Linked DNA regions of Canis lupus familiaris. The protein of the gene in region 3 purifies or fractionates together with the protein of the main gene of each other region. This does not show direct contact. Links are inferred from orthologs where the notes say so. Each region holds a gene or a part of one and is shown on either strand. Other genes may lie near its edges.

Region 1 (6,094 bases), on a different chromosome or scaffold from region 3:
AGCCCCAGACCAAAGAGATCTCCAAAGGGGAGGTGAGGAATGGGGTAGATGGAGCACATAACTGCTCCTGGAAAGGGGGCACTAGTTTTAGTTTGAAATGGAAACACTTCTCAATGTGTACTACTGGCATATTGCTTTACAATTTCTAGGGCAGTCTAAGCCCTTCTCTCCTTCATCTGAAGATGGAAACACTGAAAACTTGAGATATTAACCAAGCTGCCCAAGGTCAATACCCATCAGTGACAGAAGACCTGTATTCTTCTCTCTAGACTAACTCTACATCCAGGCCATGTGTCTGCTCCCTTTCCCTTTCCTCTTCAGAGGGCGTGAATGGCTTATCTAGGGGACAATGAAAACACACTCAGGCACTACAACAGCCCCACTGATTTCAATGGGGCAAGACAAAGAGCCAAACACCAAGAAAGCTGGGACACTACTGCCAGAAGCCAGAGGATTTCCTCCCACGAAGAATGCCACTCAGGAACTCCCACAACCGGGGCCTGTCCTGAGACATGATCCTCACTGAAAAAGGACAAGGACCCACCAGCTTTCCCACGGTCACTGCTGACCTCGACTCGAGCCATAAGCCGGAGCCAGCCGGCCTTCCGGCTTAGCTCCTCCAAGTCCCACAGCCCACCCACCTTGGGCCGCGCTGGGGACGGCCGCGGCCTCTTCTTTACTTCAATCCAGTTCTCAGAATCCAGGTCAGGCAGGCTGGCAGACAGGCCCTTGGGCAGCGTCTTTAGGTTGCTGACCTCTTCTGTTTTGGTTGGCACCGGGGTGACTGCACGGGGAGAACCAGGTGCTGACTCTGAAGGGTGGAAAGGTGAGGTCCTCAACCTTCCAGCTGTCCTCTCGATGACAACCCTAAGGACTGTTGGCTGGAGGACAACAGGAAGGCACCTCGAGGCCCAGAGTACCTACCTGTCTCCTTCTGGTAATGCTGGCGGGGCACAAACTCGGGGCAGTTGAGGAGCTGGGAGAAATCAGTCTGGGAATAATCAACTATGGGGGGACCAGGAAGAGGCCATTTCTCCGGCTCCTCCCTCCTGCGGACTTTCTCATCAACGATCTCCACCACCTTGCTGTCCTTTAGGGCCTGCAGGGGAGAAGGAAGGAGTCTATGCAAAGAAAAGACTTGGAAAGAATGAGGTCTCAGAAGCTGGCAGACGAATGGCTGGCCCCCATGAACTCAGGAAGGAGTCTAGTGCTGGCAGGAGTATAAGAAAACTGGCACCATCTTCCACAACTAGCAGACAGACGAGATGTTCAAACTTGTAGGAGGGCACCACCGTGAAAAACATAACCTGCCCTTTGACTTTGCCATTCATTCTATATCCATTCATCCGCCCCCAGAGAAACAGGGCCACAGATAGATTACATTATGTGTAAGATGTGGATAAAAAGCCATTCATAAAAAAAAAAAAAAAAAAAAAGCCATTCATAGCAACAGTCTGTAATATGGAAAAAACTGGAAACTACCTAATTTGCCACCATATAGATCATTTAAAATAAGTAACGGCCTCTCTATTCAGTGGTATACTACTCACATTAAAAACAGCTTCACATGTGCTGAGGTGGAAAGAGCCATAAAAAAAACAAAAAAACAAAACAGGTGTAGGTCAATGTGCCTAAGATACCACTGGTGTTTGAATTTTTAAATAAAAACTTACAAACACATACACATTTTTCTAGGATTCACAGGTAAATTGCTATGGGTGCTTACTTATCTCTAGGAAAAAGGGTGAAGAGTGGAGAAGAGAGGAGACTTGTCTTTAAAAATCCTTTTAGTGGAAATGGGAAACATTTCAACAGTGCAACAGGCATTCTGCTCTACTGCCGTCAGAAGTGCAAAGGCACAGCCCCCTGAAGAAAGGGAACCCAGCAATTTGCCCTGTAGTGCAGCCTTCTCACTTCTATAAATCTACATCAATGATACGCTGGCAAAAATATGAAAAGATATATATGCAAGTCTAAGTAGGAATGAAGAGCATCTTTCTCTTATGTACTACTATGCAGTCAGCACCCAAATGTATTAACTGAAAACAAAAGAACAGGTAAAGAAATACATGCTCTATATGTTGCCATCTAAGAGAGGAAAAGGATACAAATACAGGAAGAGGCATTTGCTTATTTTTTTAAACAAAGGATTTGAAACAAATTGCCTATAAGGGAATAAAAGGAAAAAGGAGAATTTTAAGAGAGAATTTTAAGTCGGTCTTCTAGGAATATACCATGTTGATTTTACAGTCATGCAAATGTCTTACCTAAGTGCAAAACAATTAGAAATTGGAGGGGAAAAAGCAATCCCTAAAACTTGAGAGCTAAATGAAACTAACGAAACTAATACACATCAAATTAAAAACATAACCATACAAAGATCATTCCAGTACTTGAAAACAGTCATTTGAGTGTTTAAGTAGAAAAAAACCCTGTTTTTAGTAGTAGTAGAGGTATTATTATAAGAATAAGGTATACAAACTATTGAATAAAACAAAATGAGTAATTATGTTGAGGTCATCATCAGCATTAGGATTTGGGGTACAAAAGTATTACAAATAAAAGGTCATTGGTGTTATAAAGTCCTTGTAGTCCTGAACTTTAATAGAAAATTTCAGTATGATCTCCTGACGTACTTAAAAAAAAAGAAGCAGGGCAGCCTGGGTGGCTCAGCGGTTTAGCGCTGCCTTTGGCCTGGGGTGTGATCCTGGAGACCCGGGATTAAGCCCCACGTCGGGCTCCCTGCATGGAGCCTGCTTCTCCCTCTGCCTGTGTCTCTGCCTCTTCCTATCTCTCTCTCTCTCTCTCTGATGAGTAAGTAAAATCTTTAAAATAAAAAAAAGCAGCTCTAGAAACAATGATCAATCAAAGCAGCAATGAACATCCCTATAACTCCAACTGTGTGGTATATAAATATCATTTCCCCAAAAGAGGATCTAAAGCTCCTTGAAAAAAAGCCTATTCCAGATCTGAGGCAGGAAATGTACCAGATCAACCAGGATTCCTCTAACTCCAGATGGGACAACTAGATTCAGTTTATGAACTGCAATGGGCTGAAACTACAGGATGTCTGAATCCACAGGTTTGTGATGATACTAAAAGACACTAAAGCAAAACAACCCCACACCTGAACCCACAACCCGTAAAGTTATCAGGAATCAACTCATAATTCTGACAATCGGTTAACAAAGGGAAAGATCAAGTATTTATCTGCTCTTTCTGTACAAACCATACGTCTTGGTAACTGAATAGCTGATGAGGCAAAGTTCCTCCTTAAAGAGGCATTCCAGCTAACAAATGAAGACAGATCGATAGAATTAGAATTTCACCATTTCACAATCCCTAATGAAATAACAGGCAGGGGTCATCAACAGCAGCTTGCATCAGGAGAGAGAACAAATGAAATGCTCTGTGCCACCTGAGAGAACATATCATTATCTATAAAGGATTCTTTTTTTTTTTTTTTTTTTTCTATAAAGGATTCTTGACAAAGAGGGGAGGGAAACTCCCCAAACCTGAATCTGATCAGGCTCCTGGAGGAATACAGAAGAACATGTTAGAGGACATCACTTGTGGCCCATGAGAAATTTGACAAGCTACATAACCCAGTTTATTCCAATTAATAAATTGCAGAGTAAAAGAGAAGGGAAGAGGAGACTTAGTAAGGCAACACATGGGTCTTCTTTGAATCCTGATTCTCATAAAATACAAAAATGTTTTTTGACAAATGGGGAGAGTTCGCAACTGTTTAGACATATTAAAGAATTATTAACATTTTTACATGGGATTATGATATAGTGATTACATTTTTTATCAGGTATTTATCTTTTAGAGATAAGTACTAAAACATGGATGAAATGTCAGGTTACCTGAGATTTTCTGCAAAGTAATTTGGAAGAGGAAACAGATGGGGGATAGATGGAGTGAGACGGGCCATGAGTTGGTAATTGCTGAGGCTGGGCGATGGGTTCATCATACCATTCTGTCTACTTCTGTAAATGTCTGCAATTTTCCACAGTAAGAGGGAGAAAGAGGAGAGAAGGGAGGCAGAGAGGCTGGCCAAGCCTTGAAGCTTTAGCAGAAGTCATCAGATGAGGACTCTTCCAGGGTTTTCTGCCGGGGCCCACACTCCAACTCCATAAGTAAGGACCTTTCCTTCCCCTGCACCCCAGCCCCAGGGAGGGAGACCTACCGCAAAGATGAGTGAAATGTCAGTGGTAAGGGCCTGCACTCGGTGGAAGGAAGCAATAAGGGTGATGGGAAGGAAACCGTCAGCATCCATTTTCCGTCGCAGGAAGAAGTCTCGCTCTAAATTGTCCACGCTGAAGTAGTATTCGCTGGGTGGAGAGGAGAAGACAGAAGATTGCTGCGTCACTTAGGAGTCTGCCTTTTTCGTCCTACACCCCCCCACCCCCGGCCACCTCACATAGCCTCTTACCGACCCTGACCCTATCGTACGGACAGTATCAAGGGCTGGAAAGAGATGTTACCCTGTCATGGCTCCCTCGCCTCAGGTTAGACCCACTCCCCCGGCCCTTCAGCCTCTCTGTAGGCCTGGCAAACCCCTCATCCACCATTAAAACCCAGTTCCATTGTCACCGGTCACCTTCTCTTCTCCTAAAACACTATCACACTCTACCGAAATGATCCACTTCCTTGTACGGCTCCCCAACTAGACTGAGGGACAATCTATAGGACTGGTTTGGAGCTAGGGTTCCACATCAGGCGGAAATGGATTCAAATCTGTGCCTTGTTGTTTACTAGCTCTGAGACTCTGGGTAAGTTCCTGGGTCTGTGTGCTCATCCCTGAAATGGAGTTAACACCCAGCTCATAGGAATGAGATAAGTGTAGGACCAAGCAAGAGAGAATGCCTGTAAAGCGCTTAACACTGGGCCTCACTAACAGGGAGTACTCCACAGGTGTTTGCTAGCATTCTGACCATGTTGCCATTAACACAGACAAGTGCAGAAGGGGGTGGACTCTGGACATTCCTCCTTCCTTTTTATCACTGGTAATTTCTAAATTTCTTAAAGCAAATACGATATTACTTTTGCAATATTATCTTTATGAAAATTTAACTTTTAAAGGGTAAGTGCTGGTTATCTTTCTCAGCTCCAGCCAAAGGCAACCAAAGATTGCTGGTGCAGGATATGCTGCTACCATAGCACCAGAAGGACCTGCCAATCCCTACTCTACCCAGCATGACAGGTCCCAACCCTATGCATCGCTCCAGGAAGGAGGCTTCTGTCCACTCACATCTGTCGCTTGATGTAGTCTTTGAGCAGTTCCTGGTCCACACTGTAAAGCTCAGTGCTGCTGACATTGTCAAAGTAGTAGGTGATGTTGTTCATGTACTTGGGGGTACGAGGCCCCTCTGCACCATCAAACTTTCGGTAGCCAAACTGGTAGTCAAAATGGGCTATGGGGGGAAATGGGTGCCATAAGGGAGAGAAGATCCCTGCCCACCGCCCCCGCCACACTCCCTCGGACATCCCGGAGCCCAAAGGGGCCTCACGTACTTCGAGTGCCACCCCGGCCGCGTCCCCGGCCGCGACCGCGCCCCCGTCCACGGCCACGGAAGGAAGCCCGCGCCCCACCAGCCCCATCACTCTTCACACTCGATGTCTCATCCTGGTCGTGCCAGGCAGGCTCCGGTTTGGTCTCTGGTTGCCAGGCTGGGGTGGGGGGGGCCATGGGCACGGGCACGTAGGTGGCAGGCTCAGACCCTATGGGGAGAGGGGCACTGGGTCACGCTTGAGGGTGACCCCCATGCCCAGGCCCTCCACAGTGGGTGGTACATACCTTTGATCTCCCCTCGGTTGGCAGGTGTGTGTCGTGGCTCTGGAGGGCGAGCAGGGCGTGAGACCAGTTTTTCTCTGGGCACTTCAGGTTTCATGTCTATTTGCAACGGAACCCACTTGTGTTTGTTCCCTGGACAACAGCATGGGCACATGAAGAAGGTTTAAGAGAGGTCCCTCCTATCCATGTTCACCCCTAACCATTCTTCAGTCTGGAGCAATAGGTCTGACTCAAAATCTGATGACCTTGGGCAAATTCCTTCTCCCACACCGGACCTTATTTTTATCTCTAAAA
Region 2 (6,094 bases), on a different chromosome or scaffold from region 3:
ACGTGGGATTTGATCCCGGGTCTCCAGGATCACGCCCTGGGCCAAAGGCAGGCGCTAAACCACTGCGCCACCCAGGGATCCCTTAATTTTATTTTTTAAAAGATTTTATTTATTCATGAGAGACACAAAGAGAGGCAGAGACACAGGCAGAGAGAGAAGCAGGCTCCATGCACAGAACCTGATGTGGGACTCGATCCCGGGACTCCAGGATCACACCCTGAGCCGAAGGTAGATGTTCAACCGCTGAGCCACCCAGGCATCCCAATAGTAAGAAAATAGAAACCTAAATGTCTATCAATAAGGGACTGACCAAATAAATCATGATATTTTCAAACAAAGGACTATATCTGGATGAAAAAATAGAAATCTACACTATATTAAACAGGAAAAGCACACTGCAAGACAATATAAATACAACTTCATTTCTGTAGAAAATAGAAATCTACACTATATTAAACAGGAAAAGCACACTGCAAGACAATATAAATACAACTTCATTTCTGTAGAACTCTGGAATTTCTCCATGTGTTAGGTATATGCATAAAATTAGCAGGAAAGTTATTCACTCGACTGCTAAGTCATGATTTTAGGAAAGGATAAGATTATGGGTGATTTTCACTTTCGGCACTGTCATTTTTTTTCTGCACTGTCATTTTTATAACAATGATTAATTCTTGTATATTTAAAGGAAAAATCTGATGCAACAGATAAAATTATAAAATTAAGAGTTAAGAGGAAGTTAGGAATTAGTATTTAAAACAAAATTAAAAGCATTGATAAAAAGACAAAATATTTTCACCTAATATTTTTCAACTGAGATTCCACTTCATCAGCATACATGGTCATTTTCATGCTTTTCTTTGGTGAAGGAGTGGAAATCATTTTCAGTTCTAGATCATAGTCCATTTCATCGGAGTCTGAACTGCTGGCACTGGACTGCCTAGATGTGCTCCGCTCCCGGGTCTGCTTGAGAGCTGGGAGCTCCTCATGGTACTCTACTACCACCCTGTCATCTGCATCCATGTCCTGATCCTCCTCCTCCTCTTCTTCCTCTTCCTCTTCAATGGGTTCCTCTGGAACATTTACTAGTCCTAAGAAATTTAACCAAAAAACATTAGGAAAAGCACTAAAATTAATGAATCTGATTTTCTGCTCTATATTGGTGACCTTTTTAAAAGGTGGTGTTCCCGTGCCCGAGATCTTACTGGAGTATTATCTGTATTAGTGCCAATCTAGTTGCCATTCTGATACCTAAAATAGAAGATTGGCTAGGTAAAGTATGATCTAGCAACCTGATGGAATATTATAAAGTTATCTAAAGTACAGTTGTCATTATTCGTGAATTCTATATTTGCAAATCTGCCATATTTATTTGTAACTCTGTATCAACACTCACAGTGTTTTCATGGCCATTTGTGGACATGCACAGAGTGTCAAAAAAAAATTGAGTCACCAGATGTGCGTATTCCCAGCCGAGGTCAAATGAGACAACACTCTTTCTTGTTTCAGCTCTCATACTGTAAACAAGTGCCCTTTTTTGGAATCTATGAAGTGCCATGTTTTTCATATTTTTGTGGCTTTTGTTGGTGAGTTCACTTAAACATTTAAAAAAATGGCTTCCGGGTATAGTGTCAAAGCTGTCTAGTGTTTCTAAGCACAAGAAGACTGTGATGTGCCTTACAGAATAAATTTGTGTTAAGTAAGCTTTGTTCAAGCATGAGTTATAATGCTGTTGGCTGTGAGTCCAATGTTAATGAATCAACAATATGTATTTAATAAGTTATCTTTAAACAGAAACACACAGCAAAGAAGGTTATATACTGATCAGTTGATGAAAATGGTGACCAGAGTCTCTGAATGTTTTAGTATTCACTATATCAATGATCACAGTGACTTTATAGAACATAACCACCATGAATAACAAAAATCAACTGTAACTTTAGAGTTCATGGAAAAATGCTTGTAAAGTAGGACTAAAAATATATGTTCACAACAATTATATTTGTTATGAAAATAGATAAGGAAAATATAAAATGAAATAAGTTGCTTATAATAAAAGTGCTAGAATTAGGGGGTGATTTGCTTTTCAATTTCTTTAATCTAAAGATTATATGATAAAATATCTTAGAATTTGAAATTGGTATAACCTGTAACTGTAACAGAAAAGTATGTGCATTTTTTAGATGCAGATTTCAAATATACAATTTTGAATATATACATTAAATAAAAACGAGACTTCACCTGTCCGTTACAATGATAAACATGTATGCATATTATCCTATGTTTGTATGCTGACTTAGCAGTTCTACAAAGCATGTAGAAAATTCTATAAGTTAGATTAAAAATAAAAACAAATCTTTATAAAAACATAATGAAAACGGTTCTTTTATAATATGCACCAAAACAAAGGAACAAAGGATGGACGGAACAAAAAACAAAATGAAACCAAGTCGTGATATCTCATTTAACTGAGACATTCGTGTACACAAGCCAATAAGCATAAAACACTAAACGTAGCAGTCTATTTTCAACATCAAAGAAACCATAAAATCAAGTCATATGATAAAATAACTTAAAAAGTTTTCATGCAGCTTTTGATATTAATAGTAGAAAAATTAGATTGCTACAGAAAATTTTCTTTCAATTTCTCCTATGTCACATTTGGCCCTTTTTGTTAGAACAGCTCTTATTAAATCATTTGACCTCTTTTGTATGGGCAATTTAAAATTAATTGTGACTTGACTTACTTTCCTATATGTTGGCAGAGGGTGAGGGCAAGGAAGAGAGGATGATAAAGTTTGGAACCTTAAAAGACTGTATTAAGAATAAGAATATGATTTCGGGAGCCAAACATGTGTCTACCCAAGAGCTGAGCAGGCAACTACCGGAATGTCGGTGTTTATAGGACGTCAAGCCAACGTCATCCCCAATCAGGGCTCTCTTCTTGATCACATCCCGCTGAATGCGACGGGAATGATATCTTCGCTTCCTGCAACATTCCAAAATAAGCACATAATCAAAAACCAATAGGAAGGACCTTGAAATCCACTAATTGAGTTTAACTGTACACCGATGCAATGTTAGGTGCTGAAACAGACATTTTACATGAAACTAAAACTTGGCCTTTCATACCATTTAACCCACAGTTAAGAATCTTGAACTTTCTTCTTGTCTTCCTTGAGTCCACACATAGTGCTGACATTCCACTGCAGAATACCAACTGAGGGATTAAGAAAAGCTTAGGTACTATTTAAAATTGTATTTTAAAATTTTGGACTCACCAAGAATTACTAAGAATTCCTTTCATGCCTCCGTAATTTGGATTCCCATATTTCATGTAATACTGACTTCTTCTGGCTGCTCCAAGTTCCTTTTTGTCATCTAAAAATTAATTACGACAGTTACCTAGGATTTTGCATTGGTATGAAGACAATGTTGAATGGCTAAAAAAAATGTTTTCCATAGTTGGGATCAGATCAGCACAATCTACCAACAAAAGGGAAAGATACACTACAAATATTCACTCTCAGTGCCTACAAAAGCAGAGCAGTATAGAGGGGGTGGAGTAAAATACAGAGATGAATGAAGTTAAGCTAATGTTAAGGAGCTGACCTCATAGAGAAAACACTGCTAACAACAACAACAATACAACATACAAAGTTCTAAGAAGCTTAAGAGAGCTACAGTCAGTATAGCTGTGCGGGAATAAAAAAAGCTTTCTAGAAGAGGTAGCATTTTCACTGTCTCCATGAAAGATGACATTCATTTCTGAATGACAACACTCCAATAACAAAGAATTAATGTTAAAGAAAGAGACTATACATAATTCCATATATCTGGTAAAGCATTTTTTCCCATCTATCATGATGTTCTCAAAATGGCTTAAAGAAAACAGCATAGCACCATTCACTTAGAATGCATTCAAATAAGATACTCTATAAACATAGAAAAGATCACTTTTGTCAAGTTAAAATGCCAGTCAATAGAAAGAAAAGGTGGTCAGTGATCACACACATTTTCGTAACAGGTCTTTGCTAGCTCCTGGGGCACTCATGGATTACAAAAGGTGAATACCAATACACATGTATCTGGTGCTACACGTAAATAGTGGCACAAGCCAACAAGTGCACCCTTTAAAAAAAAACATGCCCACTAGCTCCTTGGAGAAATGGCTGATTCCAGATCTGGGACAGGGAAAGTACAAGTCGAGTCTGGTAAAACGAGATGTTATACTGTGCCATAAAGTAAGAAAATGCTCAAAGAATCATGAATGCATGTCAAAACAATAAAGCTTAAAGGGGCTCCACTGGCCAAATCCAAGAAGATTCATAAATCAAATGAATGATAGGAATGAATGATAACCCACTGAATAAGACTCATGAATCTAAACAGAAAGAAAGAAAGAAAAGAAAAGAAAGAAAAGAAAAGAAAAGAAAAGAAAAGAAAAGAAAAGAAAAGAAAAGAAAAGAAAAGAGCAAACTTCTTACAAAGCAGAATGCCAAATAAAGAAATGTAGAGTTAAAAAGTCATCAATGGATGCTGAGTGGAATTATGAGCAAAAGTCTATTTACATAATCTTGAAGTACCTCCCACAAATTTTTATATTAACAAATGGAAAAACAGGAGAAACCTTAACCAAGTGAGAAAAGTTAACATCTCCATAAATGGGACAAGTAAATATCATGTCTCCTGACATATGCACTGAAAATGATATAACAGCACTTCTGTGGTACTCTTGCCTAACACGCACAATTTGATTTAATCAGGAGGAGATATCAGACAAACAGAAACTGAGAGGCAGTCTATAAAATAATGAGCTGAGGGGATCCCTGGGTGGCTCAGCGGTTTAGCGCCTGCCTTTGGCCCAGGGCGCGAGCCTGGAGTCCCAGGATTGAGTCCCATGTCGGGCTCCCGGTAGGGAGCCTGCTTCTCCCTCCTCCTGTGTCTCTGCCTCTCTATCATAAATCAATCAATCAATCAATCAATCAATCAATCAATCTTAAAATAATTTAAAAAAATAAAATAACGAGCTGATAGTCTAAACATGTCTCAGTCAAGAAAAATAAACCAGGGAGTATTCCATATTCAAAATTCATATATATTTTAATGCACACCAAAATCACTGTGCAGAGAGTCTTACAAATTGAAGAGGCTTTTATTTTTTTTATTTTTTCTTTTTTTCAAAGATTTTATTTATTTATTCATGAGACACATACAGAGAGAGAGAGGCAGAGACATAGGCAGAGGGAGAAGAAGGGTCCAATGCAGAAGCCCAACATGGGGCTCGATGCTGGGACTCCAGGATAACCCCCTGGGCTGAAGGCAGGTGCTAAACTGCTGAGCCACCCAGGGATCCCCTTAAGAGGCTTTTAACTCCTTTGAGAGAATGGCACTATTAGCAACGTCCAGGAAGATACTGCTACGATGAATAAAAAAGTATAACTTTAAAATGTTTTCGTAGTTCAGATGATAAACTGAACAGTACAGAGGACAAACTAGCTTTAGCAGAAAATAACTTCCTTTAGCCAGAAATCACAAAAACTATGCAAAAATAGCTAATATTCACCTTCAAAGTCTGAAATTCAACTCAGACAGCAAGCCATCATTTCACAAGCATAGAATATTATTGTTTGAAGGGACTCTAAGATTACTTGACCTAACTTCATATTCAAAAGAGATGGATGTCACTCAAAAATAAATGACTTAGATTAAAATTAAAAATTAATGCCAAATAACACATTTACCTTTTGTAGCAAATCTCATGAATAACCTATTTCCTTTTGCAAGTTTGTTAGCTGGACGAAGATCATTTCTTAGCAGAGACTCTTCTTCTACTTGAGACAATGTGTCCAACTTAAGAAAAAAGAGCATTTTCAATACAAAAATTACATTTTCTTTCATATTTATTCAGTAGCAAAGCCACTATCGAGAAAGCATTTTTAACAATTCTTAAAACAAAACAAAACAAAACAAAACAAAACAAAAAAACACAATTCTTGAAGCATGACAGCACTGATCCTCTGAGACACTGTTAAGTCAGAGGTCTTCCCTGAACACCTTGTCTGAAAGAAGAGTCTCCATCATTCTCTACCTG
Region 3 (5,534 bases):
ATCATGATGGATCAATTTAGAATTCCCATGCAACACCTCAAATTATATAAAATGGAAGCAATTTTTAAAGCTTTGTGGAAAAGTCTCATGCTAATGATAAAAGTTTTTAATGGGTCACTTTCAGTTATAATGTACCAGGGTTGCTCTACTTTAAAAATGTTGGTCACAGAGTATCATGGTCTTTGAACTGGCTCCTACTCCTAAAATATGGTTAAGTATGAATAGTCACTTAGGTGACAACCAAAAATTCCCTTCAGCCTCAATTGTTTCTTCTAAGATCTGTGTAACCAACTGATTTCCGTGGGACAAGAACTATGGTAATAGTGGGTTTGACTATTACACAATTATGCTAATATTTTATTAATTCAAAAGCACTTTACAAGAAAATATAAGTATGGCTTCCAATAGGAATGTTATACCTGGACTTGATACCAAGCTCACAGATTTTAGTTTTGCAAGGAAAAATAGGCTTTCAGGTTAAACAACAATTTGTAACCAAAACTTTAATCCCAAGGATTTTCACAAACATATTACAAATGACAGCATGAAAAAAATCTTGCACAGTAACTCAAAGTTCAGCTCTACAATGTACCCTTAAACTGGCAGGACACTGGTATCTTGAGTAGTTTCAAATCACCAAATAGAGAATGTTACAAAGAGCTGTGTGTTCACATACAGCAATCACATAAGAAACTTATGACCTAAAAGCAAAGGTAAACTAACTTTCTTGAAACTTCCAATTCTACACCAACTGGACAACGCCTGCCCAGTATGAAAACTAGTTTTTCTTTAAACCTCTAATCTAGCTTAACAGTGCAGCTTAAATTTTTACCTGCTGGCTTGTGCTCATACCAGCTTTTAAAGACTGCTTCTTCAACTCCAGCTGCAGAATATAGCCCAGCTATGTGAGAGACTCTTCTTTCAATTTCTGCCGGCTTTGTTTTCATAATATTAAATGTCAAGCTTTAGCTGGGCAGAGTTAGAGGTTTATTATCAGTCAATGTAAGACTGAACTTCAAAACAAATTCAATTTTGCTTAAGGGAACATTGTAAAGTAACAATTCTTGGTATTACATGCCTCATATGATCCATTCAAATCATAGAGAAATACATCTTTATGTGTCACTGTTCCAAGAGACAAACAAATGTGAACAGCTAAAACATCTTAAAAATGCACCAAGCTTATGAAGTCTCAAACAAAACTTGAATTTTCTGTACATACTCCTGTCAAATGAAGTTATTTCCTGTACACCAATCCTCTTGTAATCTGGTCTTCTACTTCCTTTCATTTGACCTAGATCGGCTAAAAAGAAAAAAAAAAAAAAGGAAAGTTTCATACATAACTCAGTAATACAACTGTATCGGACTTTTGTTTTTGAAAAATAATAAAAATAATCAAAATGGTTTAAGATAACCAATTCCTGTTTTTAATAGTTTATAAACAGTCTAAGTCATTAAAGGTCTTACCTACGAGACCTAGAGAAGGATCGGGACGGCTTGTGATTTCTCTCCCGGGACAGTGATCTCTCTCTCCTCCTATCTCTAGAAAGGGACCTAAAACCAGAAGAAAAATAGGACCCACTTAGAATTATACACAACAAACCTCTCTTAAGAACTCTTCAAAAACTAAAAGTTGGCTCATTCCTACAACACTGGCTCACTCTGTAGACCACTTGATTCATTACTAAAGCTAAAGTTTTTTTTTTTTTTTTTTTTTTTTACCACTAACCATGCCATTTAGAAAACAGTTTAAGAACAGGAAATGCTGTCACTTCTGAGAACACGGCCAAAAAAAAAAAAAAAAAAGAGCTATTTACCTGCTCCGGCTGCGGGAGAAGCTTCTCCGTCTTGGAGATCTAAAAGCAGAAACAGGAAAATTAGGCTAATTGTCAATTAGTATTTATGGCGTGAGGCATTTCCCAACTTTTCAATCTCACTGTTGGGCCCAGTGAACGTGCCGAAGAACTGGCACCCATCGTCCAAAAAAACAAAATAAAACAAAACCAAATTAAAAAAAAAAACAGGAAAAAAAACAGAAAAGAAAAAAGGCACAGAAGGATTAAGGAACCAAAAGCTCAAGTGAAAAGCAGGTATTCCAACCATGGACTCACTTTAACAAAGAATGCTTCACAGCAGATCTGTCCAATGCAAAACTTCATGTCAAACTAACTTCACTACCCAAACACCACGCCAAAATATAGTCCCACAAGTAGTTCCAAAAACAGTACCATAAACCAGTATTTGGAACCCATGCAAACCTATAAGTCCATGACAAGACTTAGGTACCAGGTGGATAGTGTAATTTTGTGAAAACGCGCTAGGTGTAAATACTGATGCCATTAAGTGCTACATTAGAACTGCATTTGTGATCGTCACATTTAAGAGTGTGTTTAGGTTCATAAAAATTACCTTAGCTTGGCCCACTTTACCCCCAAAATTTAAATTTTGAAAACTGTTAGTAAAACCATTTAAAGGTGATAGGATTCAACAAATTTTTGCTAGAAAGGAAAGCTAAATCTGTTAGAGTTATTAAAATTTTTAGTTTGGCATCTCACACATGCAAATAAGTTTCACTTGAAGGTCTAGTTACATTATGAGTTCCCTATCACCCTTAAAAGTTTTATTCAAGCAATATATATGTACGTTACCATTCAATTATGCACAGCCAGCCTTTGATCCAGAAAAAAGAATTACTTTAAGCCGCTTACTCCTTATTTTAACCAGCAGTAAACTGTATAAGCAGGAAAAACTTACTAGTTTTGGGTTTCAACAAGCTAGAAATGGTGAGGTGAGGCTGCCGGACTGACGGCCAGGAAGAATTTGCTGAAAAGGTTTTGCCAGATGTTGCGTTGGATTTAGTTGGTTGGCGAAGGGGGTGTTGTGGATTTTTCCTGCTTTTTTGTTAGCCGAAGGCTGCTGCTGTAGTTGTTGTGAAGACATTTGGTAAATAAACAGCTGAGCTGATTGGCCAGGAATGTGTGGGCGGTCGAGGTGGCTGCTGCCGATTTGGTTAAGGTTGGAGAGAAGGCTGAGAGAAAACAGCATGCTCGGGAACCAAAGGGCGGTGCAACCTGACGACTGGCCATGCCTGGGTCATGTGAAACGACACCAGCCAAGCTGAATGGGGCGCGCTGGTCACATGACGCTGAAAGGGCTAGTTGACTGGCTAATGCAGACTCAGAGGGTGGTGAGAAGAGACATGATGGTGACTCTGTAACGGGGTTCATTTTTATTAATAGATGGACCAAAAAGCACAAAAAAAAAATGAAAAACAAGCCATCAGTACAACCATCTATTTAGCTAACAAATACTCTTTATTATGATGGGCAACAGTGTGTTGTTTTGTTTTTCAAAATAGCAAAAGGGGCAAGATTTTGAACTCCTATCTCCTAGAAGGACTTCACTCACCTGTAAGAGGTAAAATTCAGTCCTTATAGAAACTATTTTTGGAGGTTTGAGGAGATGTGGAGTTAGCATCCAGACAATACTGCCTGGTCCAAGAATGATGCCATTTTTCAATTACAAAAAAACTGAAATCTCTCCTATTTGGGTTTGAAGAACAGATGACTGGGATTACTTCTGTAGCCCCCTTTATCGGTCAGTGACTTTAGTTTCAGAATGATTTCTACTTTACCAGTTGTAACATTACAACAGCTGCCTGCTTGATAAATACTACAATCGTGCTAATAGTAGAAAACACATTTTTGTGAAGAGCTAGTTGAATGTAATGTTTGTCATTATGGAGTCAAGAAATGGAAAAAGGCCTAATTGAAGTATAAGGGAAGACTTGGAAAGATGCAACTAGAAGATGAACTAGAAGATAGATCCAAGATAGAAGTTACTGACTACCAACATGAACAGTGACCTAAAGACAAAAGCCAACACTCAGCACAACTCACATACCCCAAACTACACCCAGCAAATGTTTCGTAAAAATCTCCAATCTTCCAAGTTTAAAACCCACCAACAAACTTTAAGAGAAATACCTGCTCCCATTAGCTACTCCATTACACCAATACCTCTAAGCACGCTCTCAAGTACCTGCGCCGAGGTGGAGGACTCCTTCTCCGATAATCATCTCGAGGGCGACGACCCCAAGAAGGAGGTGGGCCACGATTTCGACTTCTCTTTTCACCATTCGAGAGTTCCACTCTTACTCGGCAGCCACACAGCGTTCTAAGAATAAAAGAAATATTAAACTTAAAAGAGCCAGACTAAGAGGTGTATTAAAGCAAAGTGTTTCTACTTATAGCTTCTTTGCAAAGTACACTTACGAATGTCTGTAAAATCCTAACAGCAAAACAAGTATTTCTAATAAAGAAAAACTTCTTTACATTTTAATGCTTTGTTAGTCTTAATCAGAATTCAGTGTTGTCAACATTTCAAGTGTGAAAACCCCTGGACTCCAAGAACTAGCTCATCTGTACATCCTGCTGGGACTTCATGATCCCACCACTTTTTTATTAATCTTAAACTGTATTTGCTTGTCTTTCTCCTCTCTCTCTCTCCAAGCAACAGCAGGGAACCAAAGCATTATGGCCATTTTACATCACCATCTCCTTTCAACGGCCACAATAATTGACAGGAAACTACAGCTGAGAATAGTTGGGAAAGTTCTCCCTCACCTCTTCATTGTTACACATCTGTTTAGATAAACCACTATTATTTGGACAGTGATTTGGAAAAAGTGGAGTCCTGGAAAAATGGGTCTCTATGATCTGCCCTGCCTGGATAAATGACCTTTCATACAATTTTAAAGCCAATCCTAAACCCTTTAACTTTTTGGATCTTAAAGATTAAGATCCATCATTTCCCTTGGTCTCATGAAATCCAGTGTTTTTCAAAGACCAGGAAGGAGGGGGATAAGGGCAGCCACCTGGTTCCTCTAAGAGTTACTCATCAGCCAGTAATAGGACACAAAATGAAATAACTACATATTCCACACTTACTAAGTATTTCAAACACATTTATTAAAGAGGTTATAATAAACCCCAATGTAACCATCCACTTACAACCGTCAGTTTGTGGCCATTTTAAAAAAGATTTTATTTATTTATTTATTCATGAGACACAGGCAGAGGGAGAAGCAGGCTCCCTGCAGGGAGCCTGATGTGGGACTTGATCCTGGGTCTCCATTATCAGGCCCTGGGCTGGAGGTGGCGCTAAACCGCTGAGCCACCCAGCTGCCAAGTTTGTGGTCATTATTATTTGAATATCTGATTTCCAATGGTTTCAGAGAAAATTCAAAAGAGGACACCATGTGGAAGGTATAGATTAAAATGCTTTAATCACATTTTGGATACAAAAACCCACCCACCAAGAATTGACCATTAAACCTCACTGGTCACCTGAATAAAACTGTTGTGCTTTTTCGTTACAGCAAAGACTTATGTCTCTAACGACAAACTTCCGACAGGCAAGCACCCATCTAAAAGCCACAAATCCTAAGAACTTTATACATTAAAAACACAAACCACGTTATTTATCAGTATAAATTAGTCATCAAATTACCTTCCATCTAGCTCTCGGACAGC

What was found. Proteins that work in one complex are often made in the same cells at the same time.
Region 1: the proteins of SRSF3 (region 3) and LARP1 purify together in Homo sapiens (co-immunoprecipitation; 3 studies listed by BioGRID and IntAct, with this or other methods). This does not show direct contact. The link is inferred for Canis lupus familiaris from reciprocal best matches to the Homo sapiens genes SRSF3 and LARP1.
Region 2: the proteins of SRSF3 (region 3) and NCBP3 purify together in Homo sapiens (co-immunoprecipitation; 3 studies listed by BioGRID and IntAct, with this or other methods). This does not show direct contact. The link is inferred for Canis lupus familiaris from reciprocal best matches to the Homo sapiens genes SRSF3 and NCBP3.

Annotation. Positions count from the first base shown.
Region 1 is NC_049225.1:55,873,681-55,879,774, forward strand, and holds part of LARP1 (la-related protein 1), read right to left. Parts: intron 5,933-6,094; coding exon 5,804-5,932; intron 5,728-5,803; coding exon 5,521-5,727; intron 5,421-5,520; coding exon 5,258-5,420; intron 4,338-5,257; coding exon 4,193-4,337; intron 1,100-4,192; coding exon 925-1,099; intron 812-924; coding exon 642-811; intron 1-641. UniProt on the Homo sapiens protein: RNA-binding protein that regulates the translation of specific target mRNA species downstream of the mTORC1 complex, in function of growth signals and nutrient availability.
Region 2 is NC_049230.1:47,578,122-47,584,215, forward strand, and holds part of NCBP3 (nuclear cap-binding protein subunit 3), read right to left. Parts: intron 5,854-6,094; coding exon 5,745-5,853; intron 3,382-5,744; coding exon 3,282-3,381; intron 2,990-3,281; coding exon 2,886-2,989; intron 1,092-2,885; coding exon 800-1,091; intron 1-799. UniProt on the Homo sapiens protein: Associates with NCBP1/CBP80 to form an alternative cap-binding complex (CBC) which plays a key role in mRNA export. NCBP3 serves as adapter protein linking the capped RNAs (m7GpppG-capped RNA) to NCBP1/CBP80.
Region 3 is NC_049233.1:5,860,353-5,865,886, reverse strand, and holds part of SRSF3 (serine/arginine-rich splicing factor 3), read right to left. Parts: coding exon 5,512-5,534; intron 4,177-5,511; coding exon 4,042-4,176; intron 1,857-4,041; coding exon 1,818-1,856; intron 1,555-1,817; coding exon 1,468-1,554; intron 1,304-1,467; coding exon 1,276-1,303; 3' UTR 1-1,275. UniProt on the Homo sapiens protein: Splicing factor, which binds the consensus motif 5'-C[ACU][AU]C[ACU][AC]C-3' within pre-mRNA and promotes specific exons inclusion during alternative splicing.